Linked DNA regions of Arabidopsis thaliana. The protein of the gene in region 2 interacts with the protein of the main gene of each other region in a pairwise test. Each region holds a gene or a part of one and is shown on either strand. Other genes may lie near its edges. The genes, in order: AT5G10210, ASIL2, AT3G08780 and ERF14.

What was found.
Region 1: the proteins of ASIL2 (region 2) and AT5G10210 interact in a two-hybrid assay, tested with the Arabidopsis thaliana proteins (one large-scale study listed by BioGRID).
Region 3: the proteins of ASIL2 (region 2) and AT3G08780 interact in a two-hybrid assay, tested with the Arabidopsis thaliana proteins (one large-scale study listed by BioGRID).
Region 4: the proteins of ASIL2 (region 2) and ERF14 interact in a two-hybrid assay, tested with the Arabidopsis thaliana proteins (one large-scale study listed by BioGRID).

What each region holds. Positions count from the first base shown.
Region 1 is NC_003076.8:3,203,312-3,209,013, reverse strand, and holds AT5G10210 (nitric oxide synthase-interacting protein), read right to left. Parts: upstream 2,875-5,702; 5' UTR 2,779-2,874; coding exon 2,185-2,778; 3' UTR 2,035-2,184; downstream 1-2,034. Other genes in the region: ANN6 (annexin 6), read left to right, coding at 230-305, 988-1,133, 1,209-1,427, 1,519-2,034; AT5G10200 (ARM-repeat/Tetratricopeptide repeat (TPR)-like protein), read right to left, coding at 4,647-4,693, 4,788-5,702.
Region 2 is NC_003074.8:4,705,095-4,712,090, forward strand, and holds ASIL2 (sequence-specific DNA binding transcription factor), read right to left. Parts: upstream 4,083-6,996; 5' UTR 3,528-4,082; coding exon 2,196-3,527; 3' UTR 1,708-2,195; downstream 1-1,707. Other genes in the region: AT3G14190 (uncharacterized protein), read left to right, coding at 5,813-5,879, 5,964-6,239, 6,326-6,369, 6,502-6,696. UniProt on the Arabidopsis thaliana protein: Transcription regulator that may repress the maturation program during early embryogenesis.
Region 3 is NC_003074.8:2,664,684-2,670,632, forward strand, and holds AT3G08780 (BRISC complex subunit Abro1-like protein), read right to left. Parts: upstream 2,878-5,949; 5' UTR 2,770-2,877; coding exon 1,879-2,769; coding exon of another isoform or gene 1,831-1,878; exon of another isoform or gene 1,744-1,830; coding exon 1,693-1,743; 3' UTR 1,380-1,692; downstream 1-1,379. Other genes in the region: LTP6 (lipid transfer protein 6), read right to left, coding at 1-101; AT3G08790 (ENTH/VHS/GAT family protein), read left to right, coding at 3,198-3,298, 3,569-3,647, 3,879-3,977, 4,069-4,182, 4,283-4,428, 4,513-4,594, 4,691-4,776, 4,875-5,039 and 2 more.
Region 4 is NC_003070.9:1,171,078-1,176,487, reverse strand, and holds ERF14 (Ethylene-responsive element binding factor 14), read right to left. Parts: upstream 1,456-5,410; 5' UTR 1,312-1,455; coding exon 910-1,311; 3' UTR 720-909; downstream 1-719.

The DNA.
Region 1 (5,702 bases), on a different chromosome or scaffold from region 2:
ACATTATACTTGTTTTATCAATTCTATCCACTGTAGACAGCCTGTATTAATAATTTTTTCCTCTTTTACTGATTTACATAGATTGCTAAATCTAATTTTTAACAAAAATAATTAATAAAATATAAAAAATTGGGATATCATTTCATTATTTAAGACAGTGTGCATGTTCCTCGTCCCACATTTTCTTCGTCTCATCTAGAGAGCTAGAGAAATATTCAGTGGTCGGAGAATGGCGTCTCTCAAAATTCCAGCAAATATTCCTCTTCCCGAAGAAGACTCCGAGCAGCTCCACAAGGCATTCAAAGGTTTTCATGATCCATCCCTTCATTGTTAGATTGATTTAGTAAAAGTTAAATACTAGGCCTTCACATTCATGCTTTGATTGAATCATTTGCATTTTGATATTATTTAATTGGGTTGATTATCAATAGTTCAATCTATTATCATGACAGGTCTGATCTACTGATCTAGCTTGCTGGTTTGGTTGATGACACGTATATAGGTTTAATTTTAAGAAGTGGATGATAAGTTAGCTCTTTTTTATTTCGTTTTTCAAATGATTCTTAGGAAGTCTTAACTTCGTGAAGTTTTGTGGTTATACTCCATTGCATGATTCTTTTGTTACGGTGCAAAATTGTGTGACATATTATTTACTCTTTTGCTGATTTTGGATGCAATTGATTTTATGTTGGAGCGTTTCCTGACCGTTTGGTTTGTAATCGACGATTAGACAACTCTTTTAAACAGATTAACTTGTTGCTTTCGTAACAATTTTTTTATTCAGATTTAAACCCAAAAAAAAAATTCTAATAATCTTCTAAGATTTTTTCAAGCTTGGTTTTTTTTCTACTAGCGAACATCAGCTTTCTTGTATATTTACAGTTAATTTCTAACTGTCGTAAAATTTTGGTTTGGTTTAGTTAGGTTTTGTTACATACTCTCTATCTGACTAAACTTGGGTTTGAAATTTGTTTTTGTGTGGCGCAGGATGGGGAACTAATGAAGGGATGATCATATCAATTTTGGCTCATAGAAACGCAACGCAACGCAGTTTCATTCGTGCCGTTTATGCTGCTAACTACAATAAGGATCTTCTCAAGGAATTAGACGGAGAGCTTTCTGGTGACTTTGAGGTTTGTCAAAACTAAAAGATACAAAATCTATATTTCTTCATCTTATTTTGAACATCTTACTTTGCTTGAAAACAGAGAGTTGTGATGTTGTGGACTCTTGATCCAACGGAGAGAGATGCGTATTTGGCCAATGAATCTACCAAATTGTTCACCAAAAACATTTGGGTCCTAGTTGAAATCGCTTGTACTAGACCTTCTCTTGAGTTTTTCAAGACCAAGCAAGCATACCATGTTCGCTACAAGACCTCTCTCGAGGAAGATGTTGCATACCATACATCTGGAAATATCCGAAAGGTAGTGAAAGATTTATGTATATCATTCTTTAAACCAATTAGTAAGTTTCTGATGATATGTTGTTTTGTTTTGACCACTTGTAAAAATGCAGCTATTGGTTCCTCTTGTGAGCACCTTCAGGTACGATGGAAATGCTGATGAGGTCAACGTGAAGCTGGCTAGATCCGAAGCTAAGACACTTCACAAGAAGATCACTGAGAAGGCTTACACTGATGAAGATCTCATCAGAATCTTGACAACAAGGAGCAAAGCACAGATCAATGCAACACTCAATCACTTCAAGGACAAGTTTGGAAGTTCCATTAACAAGTTTCTCAAAGAAGATTCGAACGATGATTATGTTCAATTACTCAAAACCGCGATCAAATGCTTGACATATCCAGAGAAGTACTTTGAGAAGGTTCTACGTCGAGCCATCAACAGGATGGGAACAGACGAGTGGGCACTTACTAGAGTGGTCACTACAAGAGCAGAGGTCGACCTGGAGCGGATCAAAGAAGAATACTTACGCAGGAACAGTGTTCCTCTTGATCGAGCCATTGCTAATGACACTTCTGGTGACTACAAGGATATGCTTCTCGCCCTTCTTGGACATGACCATGCTTGAAACAACATCATCGTTTCATAGTCTTTTATAAGACAGTTGTTATTTGTTTTTCATTTTCTTTGAACTTTGGTCCTTAGTTTTTACATTTTACTGCAACAACTTATTCTGGTTTCTTTGAATCATCTCTTCTTTAAATTTTATTCTTACAAACTAAATCCCAGCTAACGCACAAGCTACAACAAAAGCTTCATAATCTACGCAGTTACATGTTCTACAATCTTTACACTCACAAAGATCTTCCACTCTCTTAGTGTTCACGATTTTTGAAGCTTGCACTTTTAAAGCTATCTTCAACAAAAGAGGTTTATGCTTATCACAATCTTCCAGAACGTGATCTTTTGTCTCATCCATCACTACAAATCTCTCTATTTCCATCCCATCAGTCTCTATAACCGATTTCCAAAAAATCTTTCCTCTACCCACCAACTCTGATTTCGACCACTTCTTCAAAAACGGCGTCGTTTTCCTTCTCCGTAGTTCGAAAACAACACTTTGTTGCTTCAATTCCTCGACCGCGGTTTCGTTCCCTTGGCACTCCAGACCGAATGATTGGTTCCAGGAAATGACCTCACAGTCTGATCTCGAACGGATCTCTGGAGTGTTTAGTTCAATCTTACTGTTATTCCCTGCATGGAGATAGAACCTAACGAAGAGAGTGGTTGGCGATGACTTGAGCTCTACGTTTCTAGCTTCCACGATTTTCACTTCAAATTTAAGGGAACGAATGTTTTCAACGATACCCATTTGCTTGAAAATTTCGAATCGAACCAAGAATATATTATTTACCAAGGTAATAACAATTAGAGCAAATTTAAGAGCAGTGAGTTCCTTTGTGATGAATATGTGCATGAACAAATTCTCACTAGCTATTTATATAAATCTATGGGGAATGTTCGAGGAAAGTTTACACTAGATTTCCACATTGTACTTATTAAAATATTCTAAATTTCTAATCATGTTTTTAACTTTTTATTTTTTTCTAATCATGTTAGTGAAGGCTTAATATTTTAGAAATTAAAACTCTTGAGCATCTCAAAAGACCAAGGGTCGATTTTAATAATGACTCTTGCCCATAGTTTTGGGAGATAATTAGATAGATACGTAGGATCACCATATAAAGAATTTTTATAATTTGCAAAAAGAAATTAAGGTGTGCCATTTTGAAGACTTGATCATTATTATATTACATTTCGCGTGGACACATCCAATAGCCGAAAGTTGTTTTGGAACAGAGTCAACAGAATCAAATTAAATAAGAACAAATTATTAGTAGATACATTCGATTGCATATATTAAAATGAGTATGGAATTTGACTCAAAAGATATAATTACAAAAAATATTAGCCACGAATCCCATGATCAATTGTAGTCATACAAGATAGACTTTATTACATAAGAAAATCTCCAAAAAAACTCTTATCACACAATTCATTGTTGACAAAAGTTTTGTATACTAATAATATCATCTATTAAATTTTACAAAAACAATTTTAGTTTCAACTGGTTTTAAATTATAGAAAGAACAAATCATTGCTAATAAGCATAGTCATAAACTCATAATCATGCAGAAATTGTGTTTATTTTGATCATCTCAAGGGTAATGGAAATGTCAATTTAGGTTACTTTCGTTACTATTTACTTTTTTATCAAACACTTTCGTTACTATTTAAAAAAATCTAAATCCTAATACTAACTTACAAAACCCAAATCATTATTTTCTATTACAAAATTTAAAAAATACTTGGAATTTGAAAGAAAAAAACGTTTTTACAATACTTACTTGTAGTGGGTTGCTCATAGTTAACCGAGTGAGTGTTTTCTTACATAATATGAAAGGACAGCATTGTTTTAGTTCATATCATCCGTTGGAGTTATCCAAAGGACAGCATTTTTAAACTTAGTGTACCAATTTAGAAAACGTCACTGCAATTTGCAAAAAGACATCAAAACTAAGAAGATCATCTCAAGAGCCTGACGTAAAAAAAAGGTAAATAGTGGCTTGGTACATATCCTCTTTCCTCCAATCAAATTTCACTCTTGTGTCAATATCGACTATGCATATGATCCTCGGTGGACTAAATGCAGATCTTCCATTTTTCAAAACTTTTACTTTACAATATCGCAATCCAATAAGCTAAGACCCACAAAAATTCTCTATCTTTGTACAAATTTTTTATTACTGTATTAGCTAACGTGCGAATATCCATTTAAAATGTTTTTTAATCTACAATCTCGGCCAATCATTGACCCCCAAAAAAAAATATCTCTCTCAATCACAAATCATTTCTTAATATAAGGAAAAAATATTTTTTTACAAATTGGAACTCCTCTTTGTCTCTGAATAAATACACCACAAAATAAAAATAAATAAAATCACTGAAAAAACAAAACAATTGTTCCTTTCTTCTTTACTCCTTCAAAATGGATAAAATTTTACCACAAATCCTACAATCACACAAAACTAAATAAAGAAACGAAAAAAAAAAAAAAAAGTAAAAGAAAACTTACGATATCCATGAAGCAAGTTTCTTGCTTGTAAAAAAGACTCAAACCCATTCAACGTCTTCTCTGTTCTTCAACTTCTTGTAACGACCTTGTTGTGTTTCAAGGTTTCATATTTCATCTTCTGCAAGCTTTATGCTGTATCCATGCCTCATACCTGAACAAATTCATAGATTGTGTCACCAATAAACCATTAACTAATTTGAAATCAAGACAACAATGTGTTGATCATAATCATGCAAGAATCTCACCTTTGGCAGAAGTTTTCTCATTTTTCTCACTCGATTTATCCCGGTTCTTCCACTTCTCACCGTGACCTTCATCTTCCTCCTCCTCCTCCTCATCATCAAGTCCCATATGATCCCTTCCATCATCTCCTATATCACTCTCACTCGCTGTTTCCCATTCCGAATCATCTGTTTCATTTCCATACACTTCCCTCTCTTCACCTTTCCTATGCACACCTCCATGCTTCAATGCCGCTTCTTTAAACAACCAAGCTGCACGCATCTGTTTCTTCACCAACCTCTCTGCGTAATCAGGAACCTTGTTCTGTCTCATGGAGAGATCCGGATCATTCGACTGAGAACATTCGTTGATGAACAGAATCGCATCTAACAAACTCTCTTTAGCTAGACCTAACATATCATAAGCCTGAGCTCTTCTCCAAAGACTCTTAGCATGCCGGTTTACAGGATTGTGCAAGCAAAGCGCACGTGTAGCGTCACTTATAGCAACCAAAGGCTGTTGTAGCAAGAGATGACACTGAGCTCGATTGCTATACAACACTACTCTTTCCTTCTTCGACCTCATTGGGCATAGAGACAAAGCTTCCGAGTACTTTTCCGCTGCACCCGCGATATCTCCTGATGAAAAGAGAGAGTTTCCTTCGAGTTTGACCACTAAAGCTGCTGCTTGTTTGATATGAAGGTCCTCTTTAGGCATACTCTTCTCCCATTTCAGTCTCTGTCGAGAATTTACCGTTTCTTCGATCAATTCCCTTGAACGGTTACCCATTGAGCTGCATTCTTGAAGAACACTCACAATGGAATCTCCAAGTTTCTTGTGATCACCCAAGTTTGTGATCTCTGCAAGATCTACAAGCGTTGGCACCGCCTTATCAATCACCTTGTGAGACGTATTAGGATCTTGAAGCAACCAAAGAA
Region 2 (6,996 bases):
ATCACTAAGAAAACTGATTCACGCCCAATAAGGACGAATCCTCGAAGACCCATGATTCGAATTCAAATTCAAGACATAAAGTAAAATCCCAAATCCAATAAGGAAACAAAACGCCATTGAAATTCAAGTGAAGTCCTGCTCGGATCAGACCATACCTGAGAATAGAAACAAAATGAGATCTTCGTCTGTTTCCGATGAATCAGTCTCTTTCAGATTCACATTCGAATAGTTACTATCATTGTCGAGATTCTTTCTCTGCTTTCTATATTCAGCATCCTCTTCTTAAAGCTTATTAAAACCCTAACAATGAAGATTGTTTTCTTCTGTTTTTGGCTTCACTCAAAACTCTCAAGTCAACTTCGTAATTAATTTCACTTCCGCTGATGGATTCAATATCTCTCCCATCATTGTGTGTCTCCTTCCTTCCGCCGTAATCTATCTTTGTCAAAAATCTACTTTAGAGAGAGAAAGTGAAATCAAGAGAAAGAAATAAACGTTCTTCAGACAAAAATCACCATTTTTGTTGACGTGAAGTAGCGTATACGATGACAAAACAAAAAAAAAAAGAGAGTAATAGAGCGTAAAATTTGAAATATTAAATTAAACAAAAATCAAAGAAAGTCGGCAGTAATTACGAAATTCCGGAAACAGGTCTCGCCGAATCCTAAACGGCTTTCGTTAGTTACCCATAATACCCTTTTATTCTTCGAATTTATTGCTGTGAAGTATATAAATTGGAGGGGTAAATTAGTCTCTTACCCACAGATGGGCCAAGGAACAAATGGGTATATTGGTACTTTGCCTTTCAGATCCAAATATTTAACGTTAAGAGTAACAACGATTCGCTGTTTTAGAGTAAAATCTCTATGTGCAAAATGTATATTATGTTAAATAAACACTGTACTAAATAGATGCTGACAAAAAGAAGTATTTAAATTAGAGCTTATTCTACTCTACTGAAAATTAATAATATTAACACCAACCATTTTTATTCCAACTTTTGGAGACACTTTAAATCAAATGATGGACCCCCTGAAAAAATATCTAATTATAGGATATCACTCTTTATTCTTCTTTAATTTTAATGGACAATTGACCCTAACTATATATTTATAATGGAGACATGGCTTTAAATCCTACCCAATTCTTTCTTTCTTTTTGGTATCTTTTCTTGCCCACTTTAAAAAAAAAAAAAGAATATTCATTTGTTACATTAATAATTTACTATTTCTTTAGTAATCACTACTTTTATTGCTAGATTTAGTTCCAAAAAAAAACTTTATTTTGAAAAAAAAAACTTTATTTTGAACTTTACTAAGGAAAAATCTTGATTAGTAATCCTAGTGATACCAATATATCATTAGATAATATCTAATCTATATGTCTAAACACACGTGGACCTTTGGAATCAAACTCTTTTCTACCTAAAACAAAAACAAAATTCAGAAGATTTCAAGATGCTTTATTTCTTACGTTTTCATTATTGTATTCGTTTCAAAAAAAAATAAGAATAGTGCAAGTTAGAATGATGTTACGGTGGGACTCGGAAGATGGTATTTTTACTCAAATATCATGATTCACCTTTCGATACATGAATATTAGCTTAGTGCGGAAGGTAAAATTGTGAGAAACATCTATGTGTAATGAATTTGAATTGACTGTCATTTGTTTAGTACCTATAAAATGCCAAAAGGCAAACATCATAGAAAAATAAATAAACAGACCAACGAAAAGGTTTCTTGCCTAACATTCTTCTTTTATAGAAGATCATCATTGGTGGTTTGAATGATGCTTCAGACACAAGAAAATCTAGCTCAAACAATTACTCAAAAGAAAAAGAGTTAAAAAAATGCTTTTAGGTACACATGCAAATCTCCAATGTCATAATAACCAAACATAGCTTTAAGATTTTGCGGTTGGATTGTGTCAAAAATGTCCTATGCCATGTTCTAACCTAACTAGTGAAACACAATCTAACTCAGAGATTAAGAGAAGTTCAAAAACGTGCACAAGAGTCTGCAGCAGAATGATCTCAGGCAATCTAGTGAAGTTAAATCTGTTCCATATGACCAAAGTTAAGAAAGATATGCAAAATATTAATACACTCATGAAGCCTAGATAAGTTTCAGTTTCTCTTTCAACAATTAAAGACTCAAATCTAAAATATATCAATTACGACACTGCATCACTAAATTCTAGTTATTACCCAAATCGTTGTTGTTGTTGACAATCGCATTGATGTTGTTCTTGCGGCTGTGATGATGATCATTACTGGTGTTTCCCATTCTCCTCCCATGTTGCTGCTTAAGTTGTGATATCTCCAATTGAGTCTTCACAAAGAACTGCATTCTCTGCAACTCAAGCTCCTTCAAGAACTTCATCCTCTCTTTCTCCATCTCAACCACCTGTTGCAGTTTCGCATTCTCTGTTTGCTCATAAGCTTCACCGAATCTCATGATTGCCCGAGTCAGCTCCCTCCATTTGTTCCCCACTCCATCACCATCTTGCTTCTTCTTCTCCTCCGTCTTCATCCTCTTCGACAGAGGAGGAGGTGGTAAACTGTCACCGGAATCATCTGACATTGCTGCTTCAGATTCCGAGTCTGAATCAGAAGCGTTCCTCTTCCTGAAACGCCAGCGTTTCGACTCACTACACCTTTTCACCATCATCCCTTGCTGCTGTTGCTGTGGCAGTGTCCTACCTTGCTGTGGCAGAGTCCTCCCTTGCTGTCCAAACGGAGCTGAACGGCTACTCATCGGAATTCCCATAGGTACATTGACAGATCCTCCTCCGCCTCCTCCACCACTGCCACCGAAAGAAGCAGCTGAGACTCTAGCCGTAGCTCCAATTAACCGGTCAAGATTATTGAAAGGCGGTGTTGCAGCCTTAGCTTGCTGATGGTACAGATTCGAACGACTTCCCATTGGAATACCCATAGGAATCTTATGCAATCCTCCGACAGGACCGCTGACTCCAGAAGTTGCCGTCGGGATCTTCGCCGTTGATCCAATCAGACGGTCAAGCTTGTCGAAGAACACCCATCTGCTACGGCCACCGCCGTTAGCGATTCTCACCTTCTCTTGTTTATACTTCTTCTTCACCGTATCGATCCTATTCTTACACTGTATATCAGTTTTGGGAATTTTACCGTAATCCTCTCTGCTGCTCACAATCTCAGCCACCTCTTTCCAGTGCTTCTGCTTCAGATTCCCTCTGCTAAGCTCCAAGTATCTCTCACCCCACGCATCAATCAACACAGCCGTAGCTGCTTCGCTCCAACAATCCTCCCTCCCGCCGCCGCCGGTTGGTCTCCCACTGCTGTTATTCCCTCCACCGCTGGCCTGAATCGGAAGCAGCGCCAGAGCCAACGCATCCGGATCCTTCTGCGACGAATTACCCGGAGGAGTCAGAGAATAAGAAGGCGGACCTGCCGAAGCCACCGTAACCGTGATTCGTCCCGCCGGCGGGGAGGAAGACGGATCAGGTGAATCGGAACCCTGAGATCGGATGTCTTCATCGTCCTCCATGGAATTCGATATCGCCGGATCTGAGTCAGAAGCTCGTGAAAGAGGGAGATAGGGTTAGGGTTTGGGTTAATATTCTGTTCGGGAGGGGTAAACGGGAAGGAGACGGCGTCGGTGAGTAGAGGGGACACGTGGAAGGACGTGAGAAGATACGGGGAGATGACGTGGAATGACGTGATTGGTAGGTCAGAGGTAAGATTCCGTCACCGGTAAAGTTGCCGGCTCGGTTTAGGGGTAAAAGATGGGTTTGTATCGTAATTTCCCCATTTCTTCGTAATCCGATGAGGAAGTGTATTGACGGAAAAGCCCATCTAGTTTTACTATAATTACCGGAACTATCCCCGTGAACCATTTTTCCGGTGATGTACCGAAATTACCCTTAGCCTAACCGTCAGTTTCAATATCGGTCGTAGACTTTTTTTAGTCCGTCGATAGTTTCCAGTTGTCTTCCTTCGTTGTCTTGCTTCATTCGTTAAATCGATTCGAATTAGTCTCTCTTTTAACAATAAGAACGGTGACGTGGATGTTATTTACTTTGGGCATGGGTTTTTATTGGGCTTTCCATACGCTACGTTAGCATGTTATCACTTAGTATCATTTTTTCTTTTCACCATTGTCAAAGATACAACTTTAAACATTCCAGAAATACTATGTTTCAAAAAGACCTTATATAATCTTCGTGAATTGTGAAACAAACAGAAATTTAATATTTCTCAAATCTCAAAACACCAAAAGCGACCATTATGTTATGTACACAGCAAATATATATATACAAAGAAAAGTAGTTTGGGATACTTCTTCTTCTCGTAGAAATACCTTGTAATATTTTTCAACGGTCCAATGCGTTTAGCACAATCCTGCAGTATTACCGGACGTTAATTAGATATGGTGGTACTAATGAAAGCGATAATGCGTTGGATAAAATGAAGTATAGTTTGAGAGGAAAGAAAAGAGAGGGAGATCAAACCAATCGCAAGCATTGAGACTTGTAGCATGTGTTTCACTTGGTGTTCCAGCTGCATACAAATGATTTTGGTAATCATTAATTTACAAATCCATAATACTCTCAAGCTAATAATGATTATGGATGTCAAAATAAAAAAAAAAAATAATAAAAAAAAGCTTATAATGACTATGAACATATGTATCACCTTGCAAAGTCTTTAATTTACATGAATATATAGGGTTTTAACTGCTCATAACACAAGCATAGAAGATAAAAAAAAAGTGGATCAGAAAGGATTTTTAAAAAAGGTAACATAAGAGTCAAAGGGGAAACGGGGTTGCTTGAACGGTCAGGAGAATTCGGGACACGTTTCAGATCCACCATCAACTTCCGGTTGGCACTTTCACCGGATATGTGGTTTCTCAACTTCCCGAGACCATTTTCCGGCGTTGGACCGGCCAAAGTTTCATCCCACAACTTGTGCGAAAAACCCATATCTCTGATCAAATTATTAGAAGGGTTTTTCTTGTTAATTGTCTCTAATGTGTTTTGAAAAGAGTTTTTTTTTTGTTAAGTCTTCTTTATGTGAGGATAATGGTTTTATATAAGGAACAGGAACGAGAAGCGTTGAATATCCTTGGTTAGACTAATTATATACACTTTACCTATAATTTAACCTTCCAAAATTAAGGAGATTTAATCAAGGATGATGATAAATCTAGCCGATAAGAAGATAACTTAGAGAAGTGTGACATGTTTTGCTTCTATCTTACATGATAGTTTGATGCCGTCAATTTGATTTATGTGATGGGCCTGTACCTGGGCCAATTCTTGATTAGGCCTGCATTAAAATATTCTGCCAACGGCTAGAAACTTTTTCTCTTCTTCTATAAATTTACTTTTTTTGGCCTAATCCCGGAGGTTCTTCATTATTTCGTCAGAACAACATTGAAAAGTTACCGTTAAACACTCTAAGCGCTCTTCTTCATCTTCTTATACACTTCTCTTCCAACAAGAATCTCACCAAGAAACTTCTTCACTTTTACAAAGGTAATCTCTTTCTTCCTTCTGATTTAGGTTCACATTATAGACTGTTCTTCTTGCGATTGTTTGTTCTTCTTTTCGTATGTCGCTACTTGATTCGTTCTGGGTTTCTGGGGTCTGTGGTGTTAAATTTGCTTGAGGATCGAATTGGGTTTTGTGAAAAAAACGATCTTTGTTTCGATTTCGAGTTGGGTTTCTGTTACCTTTTTTAGGGTTTCTAATTGCTTAAAATCGTCAGTTCTGGAATCAAATCTTCGTTTCTGCAATTGGTTCTTTGATGATTCACAGTTAAAACCATATGGCGAACATGAACGCTCTTCAACAAATGATCTTCCCAGACGAGAACGCTCCAATTCATCGCAAAAGTAGTTAATCTTTCTCTACTCTCTTTAAATCATATTGCTTTGAAACAAAGATTTAACATTTTCTTTCTTGGCTATTATTTACAGAGTCTGTCACTGCTGCTTCTGTGAAATCCAAAGGGACTGTACTTGGTCAGAAGAAACCTGGAGGAGCTCGTAAGGCTCTGAATGATATTACAAACAAGTCTGGGATTCATGCGAAAGCTGCTGCTTCTTCAAAGAACAAGCAAATTGCTTCTGCTGCTGTGAAAGAGATTGATATAGCTGGGGAAAGGTTTTTACATGATCACAGCAAATGCATCAAAGAACAGCAAAATCTTTGGGATGATCACTACTCTGCTGATCTCATGCTACTTCATCATGGTATTGTATTTAGATCTTCTAAGCTATGATGTTTAACCAATCTTTGCGAGTAAGCTTGTGCTAAACTTGATCTTTTGTACTTGCAGGTTCCAGCATCAAGGAGAAGCATCTCAATTGGGACATTGAAAAGGTACTGTACTTAAAAAACAATGTCTATCTCTCTGTCTTTGATGGAGATTTTGGTGAGACTGCATCTTTAATCTAGTTTTGGAACTTAAAGTGACACTTTTTATGACTCTATCCTATGTGTTTTTGGTTTCAGATGGATGCTAAGGACGATCTGACTTACGAAGAACCAGAAGAGATGGCATCGCCCAAGTTTTCTGATTGGCTGAAGAACTCGACTCCATGGCGCTCTCCAATCCGTCATGGCTCTATGATGCCTTCCACTCCTCTGGCTTGGCGGTTCGATTCATGCGAATTCACACTTAAAGAAGACTCTGACGACCTCTTCTGAGTTTCTGTTTCTTAATGTCTTCAAAATTCATCCTTCAGATGAAGTAGTAATAGTAGTAGTGGCGTTTATCTTTTGTTCAGCTCTTCATGAATCACTCTGTGTCTATCACTTTGTAACTGGTTTCAGGAAATAAAGTTGGTATCTTTTCAAGTATTTTGACTATTCATCAAATTTGTGCCATATTCAGAATCTGAAGTTTCGATTTACACTGTCATGTTTCAAGCCACAATCCTAAACATCATCAGAATTCACTTTTACAAACATTCATCTCTTCAACTGTGAACTTACATTGCCGTTATC
Region 3 (5,949 bases), 2.0 Mb from region 2:
AAGCAAGGGTAAAGATCCGCAATCACCGTGTTGCAAGACACGGCTGCTTCACCGCAGTGTAAAGCAAGAACCAGGCACACGGCTAATAAGAGAGATCTCATGTTACTTTCTGTTTTTTTTTTTTTGGTGTATTTGTGTTATGGTTAGGGTTAGAAAATAGAGAGGTTATTTATAGATGGAAAGAGTTTGAGATTGGTAGTTGAGGAAGAGTGATTGCTAGGACACGAGTGTTACTGTTAGTTAGTTGTGGAAGAATTTAATGTTTACCTTCAGCCAATTAAGATCCAACCCTCCGGATTCAACTGCATTGTATCTAACAATATTATTTCTTTTTAATTACATTTTTTCTTCTTTAACTATCCAAATTCATCTCTTAATCAATAAAAAAGGCCTACTAAATTAAACACTGATACCAACTACAATGAGAAGAGTTGTTAAAGAAAAGAAAAAGACTAATAGATTAAGATAGGAATTTGGATAGTATTTAATTTCTTACTGGTTTGAAATGCTGTTTAATTCAGTAGTGTATGATTTAATGCCTGATTATAAAATTCAAAGTTTTAAAACTGCTTTGACAAATAAAAAGGATTTCAGTTCTCATCTACATATATTTGGATAGTGTTTAACCCATGTGTGTAGTAATATATATGTCAATATCAACGTCGACAAAAGGAAAAATAATGACAATTTTTAGGCGATGGATATTGAGTTGTATCGCTGCTCATAGTGCATTGACGCTCTAGATAAAGAGATTAATGAAGTGTGCGGTTGGTACGTTTTGTTGTTACAAGTAGTTAAGATAGCACAAATATGAAGGAGCATCTTCGAGTACTAAGAGCTGTGGTGTGAAATTGATCGTTGAGAAACCGTTTTGGTTGGTTTCCATCAAGTAATTTGAGCCGTGGTCCCAATTTTGTTCGGTTTAGCCGATCCTTAACCAAAAACCTGATTCAGAAGAAACATGTATTCGGTTTGATTCCAAATTCTGTAGCTTGTATTATTAAATCATTCCAACGGGCTGTATCCAACTTTTACAACTCTTGAATCAAAAATTAAGTCAATAAAATTCGAGATCAATTGAATAATGTTACTATACTATACACATTCACATGGTATTTATAGTAACATTTACCCTCCTTGAACATTCTGCCTCAGTGTCATACCATTCATGTCGACAATAAAAGTTCCCATCTTAATCAATTCCAAAGTCCTTACAAAGTTAAACGTCTATACAAATTATAATGACTGTTGATCAGAACTTCAATATCATATATCAATTTTCTCAAAGGTATTCATTCTTCTGGTGATATCATTTTTCCTATCTCTAGTCATGTCGGGGTATTTCTGCTCTACCATTTGGTAATTGGTATCAATATGTATGCAACTAATTAGCTTAGTATTAAACTTCATAAACATATATTATACGCCCAATTATAGAAACTCTTGACATGAATCAATCCCATTCTTGATTGTTTCTCTTCAAACAAAAACTAGCCATACAAGGAAAAGGGATCTCTTGTGACAAATCAATCTAGCCAGGAAAGGTTTAACTAGGAAATCGCTAAACTATAATACAAATCGTTTCCCGCATATAGTTCCGATTGCGCTAGCCACTACTAGCCAGTGTTCTCTTGGATTGAATTCCAAGTATATAGACTCGATAAAAAACCTTAAAGAAATTCAAAAGAAGCCTCATCTCCCGATTCTGGCTACTCGGTTTCTCAACTTCCTATTATGCTTTTCCTGGAAGAACCATTGAAGATGTTGTATTGGTACAATTCAGTAACATTTTGCTAGACAACAATCAATAACATGAACAACAAAACCACTTTAATTCTTGAATAGCAATAACATCGAATTTTGAAGATGGTTTTGTACCTGTTGAAATACCCTAGCCGAGCTCTTCTCAACATCAGAAGCCAAGCTCTCGATCTTCGCCAGCATTCTCTCATACATTTCTTCAATCCCGCCTGTGTAATTCGCAGCTTCAGCTCCAACCAAACGTTTCAACTCTCCAACTTGAAACCCCTCTGCTAACGCATCGATCTCCTTCTGATCTTTCGCTGATTGTTTCTTCGCACTCAAGGAACTCTCATCGCAATCCACGCTCATGGCTGAGCTACTCAACTCGCAGATCAACGGTGGAAATCCCGATTTCGGACTAAACGAACCGTAATGGCCTCGAAACGCTGGTCCAATGTTGACTATACCAACGGATCTAGGTTCGAGCCGTTGTTTCGAGGATCGGAACTGGTACGCACGGTACTCGTGCGTGTGAATGCACTGATCCGTCAATGGCATAGTAAGAAGAAAGAACACGGATGAAGCCATGTTCATCGATCTAGGGTTTTGCAAATCCTCGATTGGTAAGTGAAATTGAGACGAGAGAGACGACGTGACGGCTAACTCTCTCATTGATGGACGGTTAGCGGTTTTCCTGCGGGCGGAGAACCACCCAATTAGGTGGTCCGGTGAGTCGACTCGGAGGGAATCGATTCGACGCGAGTCAACTCGGCCAAGCGGATCGTAGAAGGAGACAGTTTTACCAGAGCAGATAAAGCTTGTAACGGTGGCGACAATTTGATCAGATGAGGAGGAACTCGAGGCGATATCCGCCGGAGAATCGTCGGATAGATTAGAAGAGACGATTCGGTGGATTTGGCCGAAGATCAAGCCATCGACGTCACTGGGAGAAGATGAAGCTCGTTGAATCAGTGACGCCAATGTTGGACCCGAAATCTCGATTTTCTCTAGAGAGAGATCGTCCATGGCGACGAGAAGAACACCAAAAGGAAAAGATGTGACGTCACTGAAATCTCTCTCTGTGCAAATAAAAACGAGATAAAAATTGTATCAGCACATTAGGACGACGTGGCGTTTCGTGTTCTAACGAGTAGTTAGCGTGTCGTTTTTGTGAAAGAAAATGGGCATAAATGTCCACACTCGAGGCCCGTTATTCACCTTAAAGCCCAATCAAACAGAAAAACATTTTAAAAGGGAAATATGAAAGGTCAATTAGTTCCTTAATCTTCTGCATTGATGTAGCAGCAACTAGCAACGGTGCTTACAAGTGTCGCCATGTTGTTTCTTAGTTGCAAATTAAGAAGAGAGCAAAATATCTTTTTACAGACTACAAGGAAGAAAACAACACTTCTTAGCTCAGAGTTTTTTGAAGGACAGAGGAAAAAACCAAGAAGATGGTGCATCCTTTGGTTGATAGAGCTACAAGCGATATGCTCATTGGTCCTGACTGGGCCATGAACCTCGAGATATGTGACATGCTTAATCATGAGCCTGGGTAAGACCTTTTTCACTAAAATGTATTTGAATGACTGTAAAATCCTTGGTCCAATGCTCTAGGTGATCAATACGAATCAATGTTCTAAAGGAAAAATGGTAATTGTTGACATTGTGATTTCCTAAAGAGAATCAATGGTAATTTTGTTGATCTCGGTTATACTACATTTGTGTTGATCACTGAAGACTCGGATGGTTCAGATTTGGTTTTGATGTTTTTTTTTTTGGTTTTATTCCACTTTTCTAATGATATGTGAGTGTGTGTTTGTAGGCAAACGAGAGAGGTAGTGAGTGGCATAAAGAAGAGGCTTACTAGTAGAACTTCCAAGGTTCAGCTTCTGGCTCTTACAGTAAGTTCTACTACCAGGGCTTGATATTCATGTTTTGGTTTGGTTTGGTTTGATTTTGGATTCAGTTTCGGTTTTGCATAGAATGAGATGTTCTTACATTATTAATACCAAACTTCACTTCAGTATGATATGTACACAACCAATAGTATTCAGATATTTACTTTTATTTTCTTCCTTTTTAAAAATTTATTTATGAGAAGATTAACATATTTTGGTTTTGTTACTTTGTAGTTACTAGAGACAATAATAACCAATTGTGGAGAACTTATTCATATGCAAGTTGCAGAGAAGGATATACTTCATAAGATGGTGAAGATGGCCAAAAGGAAGGTCAGGCTATGTTTCTTTTAAACGATTGTTTAATCTATAACAATAGTTTTGTGTGACACCTAACTTATCATGTTGTTTGTTAAACTTATAGCCTAACATCCAAGTGAAGGAGAAGATATTGATACTTATAGATACTTGGCAAGAGAGCTTTTCAGGTCCACAAGGAAGACATCCACAATATTACGCAGCATACCAAGAATTGTTGGTATGTTTCATTTTTGCTGTGACATGTCCATTTTAATCGAACCGATGGAGATATGGTTTGAATGTTAGTATTTCGTTTAATTTCTTTTATCTGTTTTCAGCGTGCAGGAATTGTATTCCCTCAAAGACCTCAAATCACACCCAGTTCAGGACAAAATGGTCCTTCGACAAGGTATCCTCAGAATTCTCGTAACGCTAGACAAGAAGCTATTGATACTTCAACAGAGTCAGAATTTCCAACTCTGAGGTGTCTATCTTAATTATTGCTCATTATTTTCTAGGAATATTCAACATAAAAAGATTTGATCAAATAGCATTTTTTTGGTTGAAGTTTGACAGAAATTCAAAACGCAAGAGGAATTATGGATGTCTTAGCTGAAATGATGAACGCAATAGATGGAAACAACAAAGAGGTATATCTTTTAACACCTAGATTCTGAAAATTCATATAACATTTTTCGTTAACATTGAATCTACCAAATGAATGTATTTTCTTTTCACCTTTGCAGGGACTTAAACAAGAGGTTGTTGTAGATCTTGTTAGCCAATGTCGCACCTATAAACAAAGAGTAGTGCACCTTGTAAACTCGACATCGTAAAGATCTGAAACTTTTACCTGCAAAATTTGTTTTGAAACTCTAAACAATTTTGACGAATATATGTTCTTTATACACGTTTTGGTTCATGTGTCAGAGATGAATCTATGCTTTGCCAAGGCCTAGCCTTAAATGACGATTTGCAGCGATTACTTGCAAAGCACGAAGCCATCGCCTCTGGAAACAGTATGATTAAAAAAGAAGAAAAATCTAAAAAAGAAGTTCCTAAGGACACAACTCAAATCATAGATGTTGGTTCAAGGTAAGAAACAGTTCTAGACTTCTAGTTATTAAATGTTTTATTTTGAAATATCTTTGGGTTCTTGACTAAATTGTGTAAAAACTTAAGAATTATTTTGTTGTTGTATTGTGTGTTATATTTTGATGTATAGGCATTGGTTTAGTGGTTAAGGATTGAAGGTTGAAAGATTAAAAAGATTGGCCTTTTACACTCTAAAATATTTTTGAACTTCTTTTGCAGTGAGACCAAAAATGGTAGTGTTGTGGCTTATACAACCAATGGTCCAAAAATAGACCTTCTAAGTGGTGATGACTTCGAGACTCCGAATGCGGATAACTCATTAGCTCTTGTTCCTCTCGGACCTCCACAACCAAGTAGCCCCGTAGCAAAGCCAGATAATTCCATCGTCTTAATCGATATGTTGTCAGATAATAACTGCGAAAGCTCTACTCCAACTTCGAATCCTCACGCAAATCATCAGAAGGTGCAACAAAATTACTCGAATGGATTTGGACCTGGCCATCAAGAGCAATCTTATTATGGTCAAGGGTCATCTGCTCCTGTTTGGAATCTCCAAATTACTCAACAACCATCTTCTCCTGCCTACGGAAACCAACCATTTTCGCCTAACTTTAGCCCGCCCGCCTCTCCTCACTATGGTATTCATTTTGGACCTGAAACTCAAGACTGATATCAGTACCTATAGAAAACTCAAACTAATCCTAACTTGTTTTCCCTTTGCATCGTTGTCTCTTGTGGTCTATAAGGTGGACAAAACAACAACGTTCTGGCATTACCTCCACCACCATGGGAAGCTCAATCTCCAAGCTCTAGCCCTCAATACTCTCCTACACATCCAATGCAAGTGACTCAAGTGGTCATCACCACACACACACATCAACCCCTCGGTTACAACCCTCAAGGCGGCTCT
Region 4 (5,410 bases), on a different chromosome or scaffold from region 2:
TGTATGTAAACTATGTTTTTTTTTACTATATTTTTATTAAATTGTATTTTATCATTTTAATTTTAATTAAAAACTTCTATATAATTTTCCAACTAAAATGTTTTTTTTTGTTATATTAATATTTTTATCTTGGGACGGAAAACAAAAATTAATGCCTTTAAAGTATATGGTTCTAGCTTCTATGGTGATCCTGATTCCTGATAGAAGCATGGAATTAACGCCGAAGTCTCTCATCTCATCTTCATGGCCGTGTGGTGTGGGTGATTTTCTTTCTCCACGTATTTATATTTTGTCTTTAAAAACTCATCTATCAACTCAATGAATTATTGTCCCCACAAGTTACTAAACTCATCAGTTGCTTATAAAAACTATTTTCAAAATGTACATGTATATATGCGTCTACATATGCCTTTCCAGTATAATTCATGAATGGAAGAGCAATAACAAGCAATGGTAAGATGAATTCCATATTTCAAACGTATAACACAATGTACTTGTACATGCTGGTAGTTATATTAATTAGAGCGATGTAATAGGTTATATTGATATCTTATAAATTTACTTTGATTTATTTTAAAACGTTTAAGCTCGTTTAGATGAATCACAAGAAGGTAACAAATATATCAAATCATAATTACACGTCACAAAACATAAAAGAATATGTTTCACATAATCATTATTTTCATTAATATTTTCTCAAAACTAATTGCACAAGGAACCGTTTGAACTTTGAAGTTCAAGAAACTAAGATGACCCGCTTAAAGAATCTTATTCGTTACAGAAATCGATTGACAATTACACTTCATGCCAATAATTGAAACAGCTTTGTACGCTTGGGATTTTATTTTATTTGTTATAACTGAAAATGGTCTTTCACATAACTTTCAGTTAATACCGATTGTATTCCCTTTATTGCCTCTTGCCCATGTTGATATTATGAGTCTTGTTATAGTTCTCTCCATATTCAAGAAGTTCATCCAAAACGCTATCGTCCAAGTACTCAAACTCAAAAACTTGCTGCGACGAGGAAGAAGAATTAGCCGCAGTGGATGAGGATCCGGTTCCCATGTTATACTCGTGAGGGAAGTTGAGAATGGCAGCTTTGCCTCTCATTGAATAGGCGGCTCGGTCATAGGCTCGAGCCGCGTCTTCCGCAGTGTCGAATGTCCCTAGCCACACACGCTCTCCGTGCTTCCTCGAATCTCTTATTTCCGCGGCGTATTTACCCCAAGGTCGTCTCCTTACTCCACGGTACTTCCCTTGCTCGGCTCCTCCTCCTCCACTACCACTGCTACGACCTCCTTGATCCATATATCTGTGTATGTGTATATACTGTTGTGCGTCAGAAGAGAGACCAAGTGACAAAGAATAATAAGAAGAATTGGATGTTCTAAGAGTTGGAAACGGACACAAGATGTAGCGTCTGTTTTTTTTTTTTTGTCTTTGTGTGTGTTTTAATTTTGCATGGATTAAATGAGATTTGATTTGTGGAATTTATAGGCAAGGAAACAAGTGGGTCCATCAACCTAATATTCGAAGTTCGAAAAACTCCACTTATGAAAATTATGTAGATGTTCTTTAGACCTTTTTTCTCCTTCAACATAGATGTTTCTCATAAAATAAATTTTCTTTTTCTTTTTCTTTTTTCATTTTTTTATAATAGATTTTATTTTGAGAATTTTGTATTTTACATATATGTACAATTTTTTATGGCTATAATAATATACATGTATGGGGTTTCGGAAATGTACAACATTAATAATATGGTAAGAATCATGTGCAACAAAAATATAAAACAATTTTTTGTTATATCCTTGAAATTATTATATTTTGCGTTTATATTTTACATTATATCTAAATTATTAAATATTTATATCTAAATAGAGCTTATAAGGTTTAACTCAAGTTGAACTTTTGCAAAAAGTAGGAAATTTATGATAAAATTAGACAGTCTCTTGAACTAATTATTATAGAAAACTATATTTGTATGGTATTTTTTGGCAACAGCAATGGAATTTTATGTTACCAAAAATATGATGTGTACTGAATAAAAGAGTTGATTGGAGGACCCATAGGAATATGTTTGACTTGGGACTTCGTTAGTGCCCACGTGGGTTGACTCTCAAAACCGACTCAGAAGCTTTCGTTGGACCATAATAAATTTTTTGTTTAATACAGAATCTACGTGTGGGGGTCTAAGTTCTTGACATGACTTTACATTTTGGAGAATTTTTTCCTTCTAGATATATTTTCACATCAATTAATTTTTATTGAATAATTTGCAGTAGATTAGATCAATTAACTTTTCTTAACATCAAGTTTACGAACATACCACTAACGAAGAAGAACAAAAACGTTTACTAAGTACATTGAATCGGCCTTGAATTGTTTTCAAATTATGCATATATTCTACATAAAGCTGGAAATTCATTACTTATTCTACCTTAAAAGAAAATATAAGATTTTGTTTTTCAAAATGTCGTATAAAAAATTGAGCTAAATATTAATCGCTAAAATTTTTTATGACATTTGAACTACTTTCTCCATCTTTGCCAACGTACGGTACCTGAAATCTCTAGAAATTTGATCGAATCAAATGTTGGTTGCGTTTGTAACTTTGTATATGCATTGAACAAATAAAAGTTTTTATATTAGTAAGAAATGTTTGTAAGTTGTGAACGCAAATACAAAAGGTATTCGCAATTTGATTTTATGCTTTGGAAATCACGCTTCCCATGTACGATAATCTACATTTTTGTTTGTATTTAAAAGCATTAATAAGATATCATATTTTCATTAAATATAATCACACCATTTAGTCCTCTAAAATATACAAAACCAAAAAAAGTAGTCAGCTTAGAATCAAGTAATTTGTAATTGCCTTATACACACTACAGTATATAGTTGTTAACTGAAAAACAAGAATCAACAGCCTATAATACCTTACATACTCTAGAATCTGAATCTTTTAACTTAAATATACGACTTCGTTGAGCCAACAAATATAACTTTCTTTAGTTAGCTAGGTCCACAAAATTAATCGCTAAAGTTCCATAAATATAACAATAGATGTCACAGTCAATAAGAAACTTATACGGAAGGACTTCGTATAAGTGAACATTCCATAAATAGTATCTTTCACCCGTAAATCTCAGATATTTTACTGACACTATACTCTGTCGAAATTGACTTTTATAAACCTATTAGCCTAATCGTCACGTGGGCTTTTCTAATAAGTCATTAACGTTAAGTCAGTTGAAATAAGGATAACGACATGTCCAATGTACCTAGTTGATCATAAATTCATCATCATGGTCACAATGTACCTACTTCTTCAAGTTTTCTTTTTGTTACCTTTTTAAAAATATATATTTTAAAATACACTAATTGGCCCTTTTTGGCTGCTCCTAATATTGGATTCGATCTTATAGGTGTCCGTACATATTCGAAGTCTTTTTTTTTAGACTAGAAAACAAAGTTTTGGAGTTCCCTTTCCTTCTTTGTTCTTCTATCATATCTGAGTTCCTTTCCCTTTCAATCACATTAAAATAATGATTACGATTTTATTATGTCGTTTAAATCTGACTTGCCTTTGACTTTGAATCGGTCCACGACAAATATTTTTTTGGTAAGTTATGACAATTGTTGTAGTGCCTGTATATTTTTTTTAAAAATGCTTAAACTGTCGCATAAATGCGACCAAAAAATAAAATACTGTCGCATTAATGTTTTATTTTGGATAAACCGAGTCTATGAACAAACAAACCAAAACAACCGAAAACTGGGCGACAAAAAAACAACAACTGAAAACTGATTTTGTTGAAAATTCTCGGTAGACGGTAACAAATATCATCGAAAACCTACTGTACTTCAAAACTTCCTTGTTCCAAAAAACAAAAAACAAATCTAAGGATTCTTTTATATTTGAAAAAGAAATTTAAAATAGAGCCTGATTGAAAATAATTATTATTATTCAATTGTTCATTTTTTTTCTTATCTTCAATATACATTTCCGACGTCTTTCTTGAATTGAAAGGAGAGATGAATCTACGTTTATTCAACAATAAAAAGAATTAAATTTAAGAAGATTGGAATTAACGTCTATTCTATTGTAAATTAATAATCTCTGGGAAAAAGAAGATTGTGTGGTTTCGATTGATATAGAATCAGAATCTATATTGTTGTCGCCATTACGACTAGTGTAAGTAAGGGCTCTCGAGGTTGGGGACAACATATAGCTAGAACTAAAGTCTTTTTATGTCTTCGTGCATGAACCTACCAATTGAATAACATAGAATCTATAGTAAAAGGTTTATTTCAGAACAAGAACCCTAACATATAGATGAAGCTTTTAACTAAAGGTTATAGAATATCAAGGATTTATGGGTTAATCTATTTCTTTTACCAAAATCGATAATACGTTGACCAATTTTTTGGATAATCTTCGATCAATTACAGCGGAGTTCCAATGGAACAGAATTTATTAACTATATTTTTATAATTAGCACTATAAATAAGAAATTTATAGTTTAAGTACCTTTTAACTTTCATTCTTTTAATTTGAGAACAAAAATAACTTTAATGAACTCAAAGATATTCATACAATATTATGTATGGTTAATATTAATGCTACACATTATTATTTTCAAGATGACATACACTAGTTTCATTTTAAATATATTTTAAAATTGACACAGTTTATTTTCATTTTAATAGATTGACATAATCTTTGCACACTGAATATATGATGGCCCAGCCCAAGTTCACTCGTGACCCACATATGGTCCACGCAGCTGCCCAAAATGGGTCTAGAAAAACTAATGGAAGAATGGCGAAACATAATTGTTTTTTTTCCTGTCAACGAATGGAGAAAGAGAAAGTGAAACAAGTGAAAGCATTTTTTTTTACAGTTCTCTTTTCTGGTAAAGCATTTTTTTATCTTTTTTTTTTGTTGTCATCAGCATTTATTTATGGTTGTTCAAAAAAAATAAAAAAAATTATGGAAACAGAACAGACGATAGAACAAATTACATCACATTATTCAATTTTACACTAAAGAAATTAATTTTATTTTTGTAACATCTTGCTTTATTTTATTAAAATGAAAACAGAGATTACATAGTTATTTCTTAGACATACACATAAAACCAAAAATTGATTAAAATTTAAGAAATTAATTAACTAGATAATTTAAGTTAAAAAAATTGTTTTTTGTAAATTGTGTCTCATTAAATTATAGGATGTTTTGACTCGCACACATATCAATGGTTCAAAACGTTGACCCCAGATTGGTTTCTTTAAATGGTAAAGTAAAAGTCAACCTTTAGTTTGAGATAATAAAATTTAAAAGCCAATTAATTTTCTTTTGAAATTTATTTACAATTTCTTGTTATGAGATCTACATTATTAT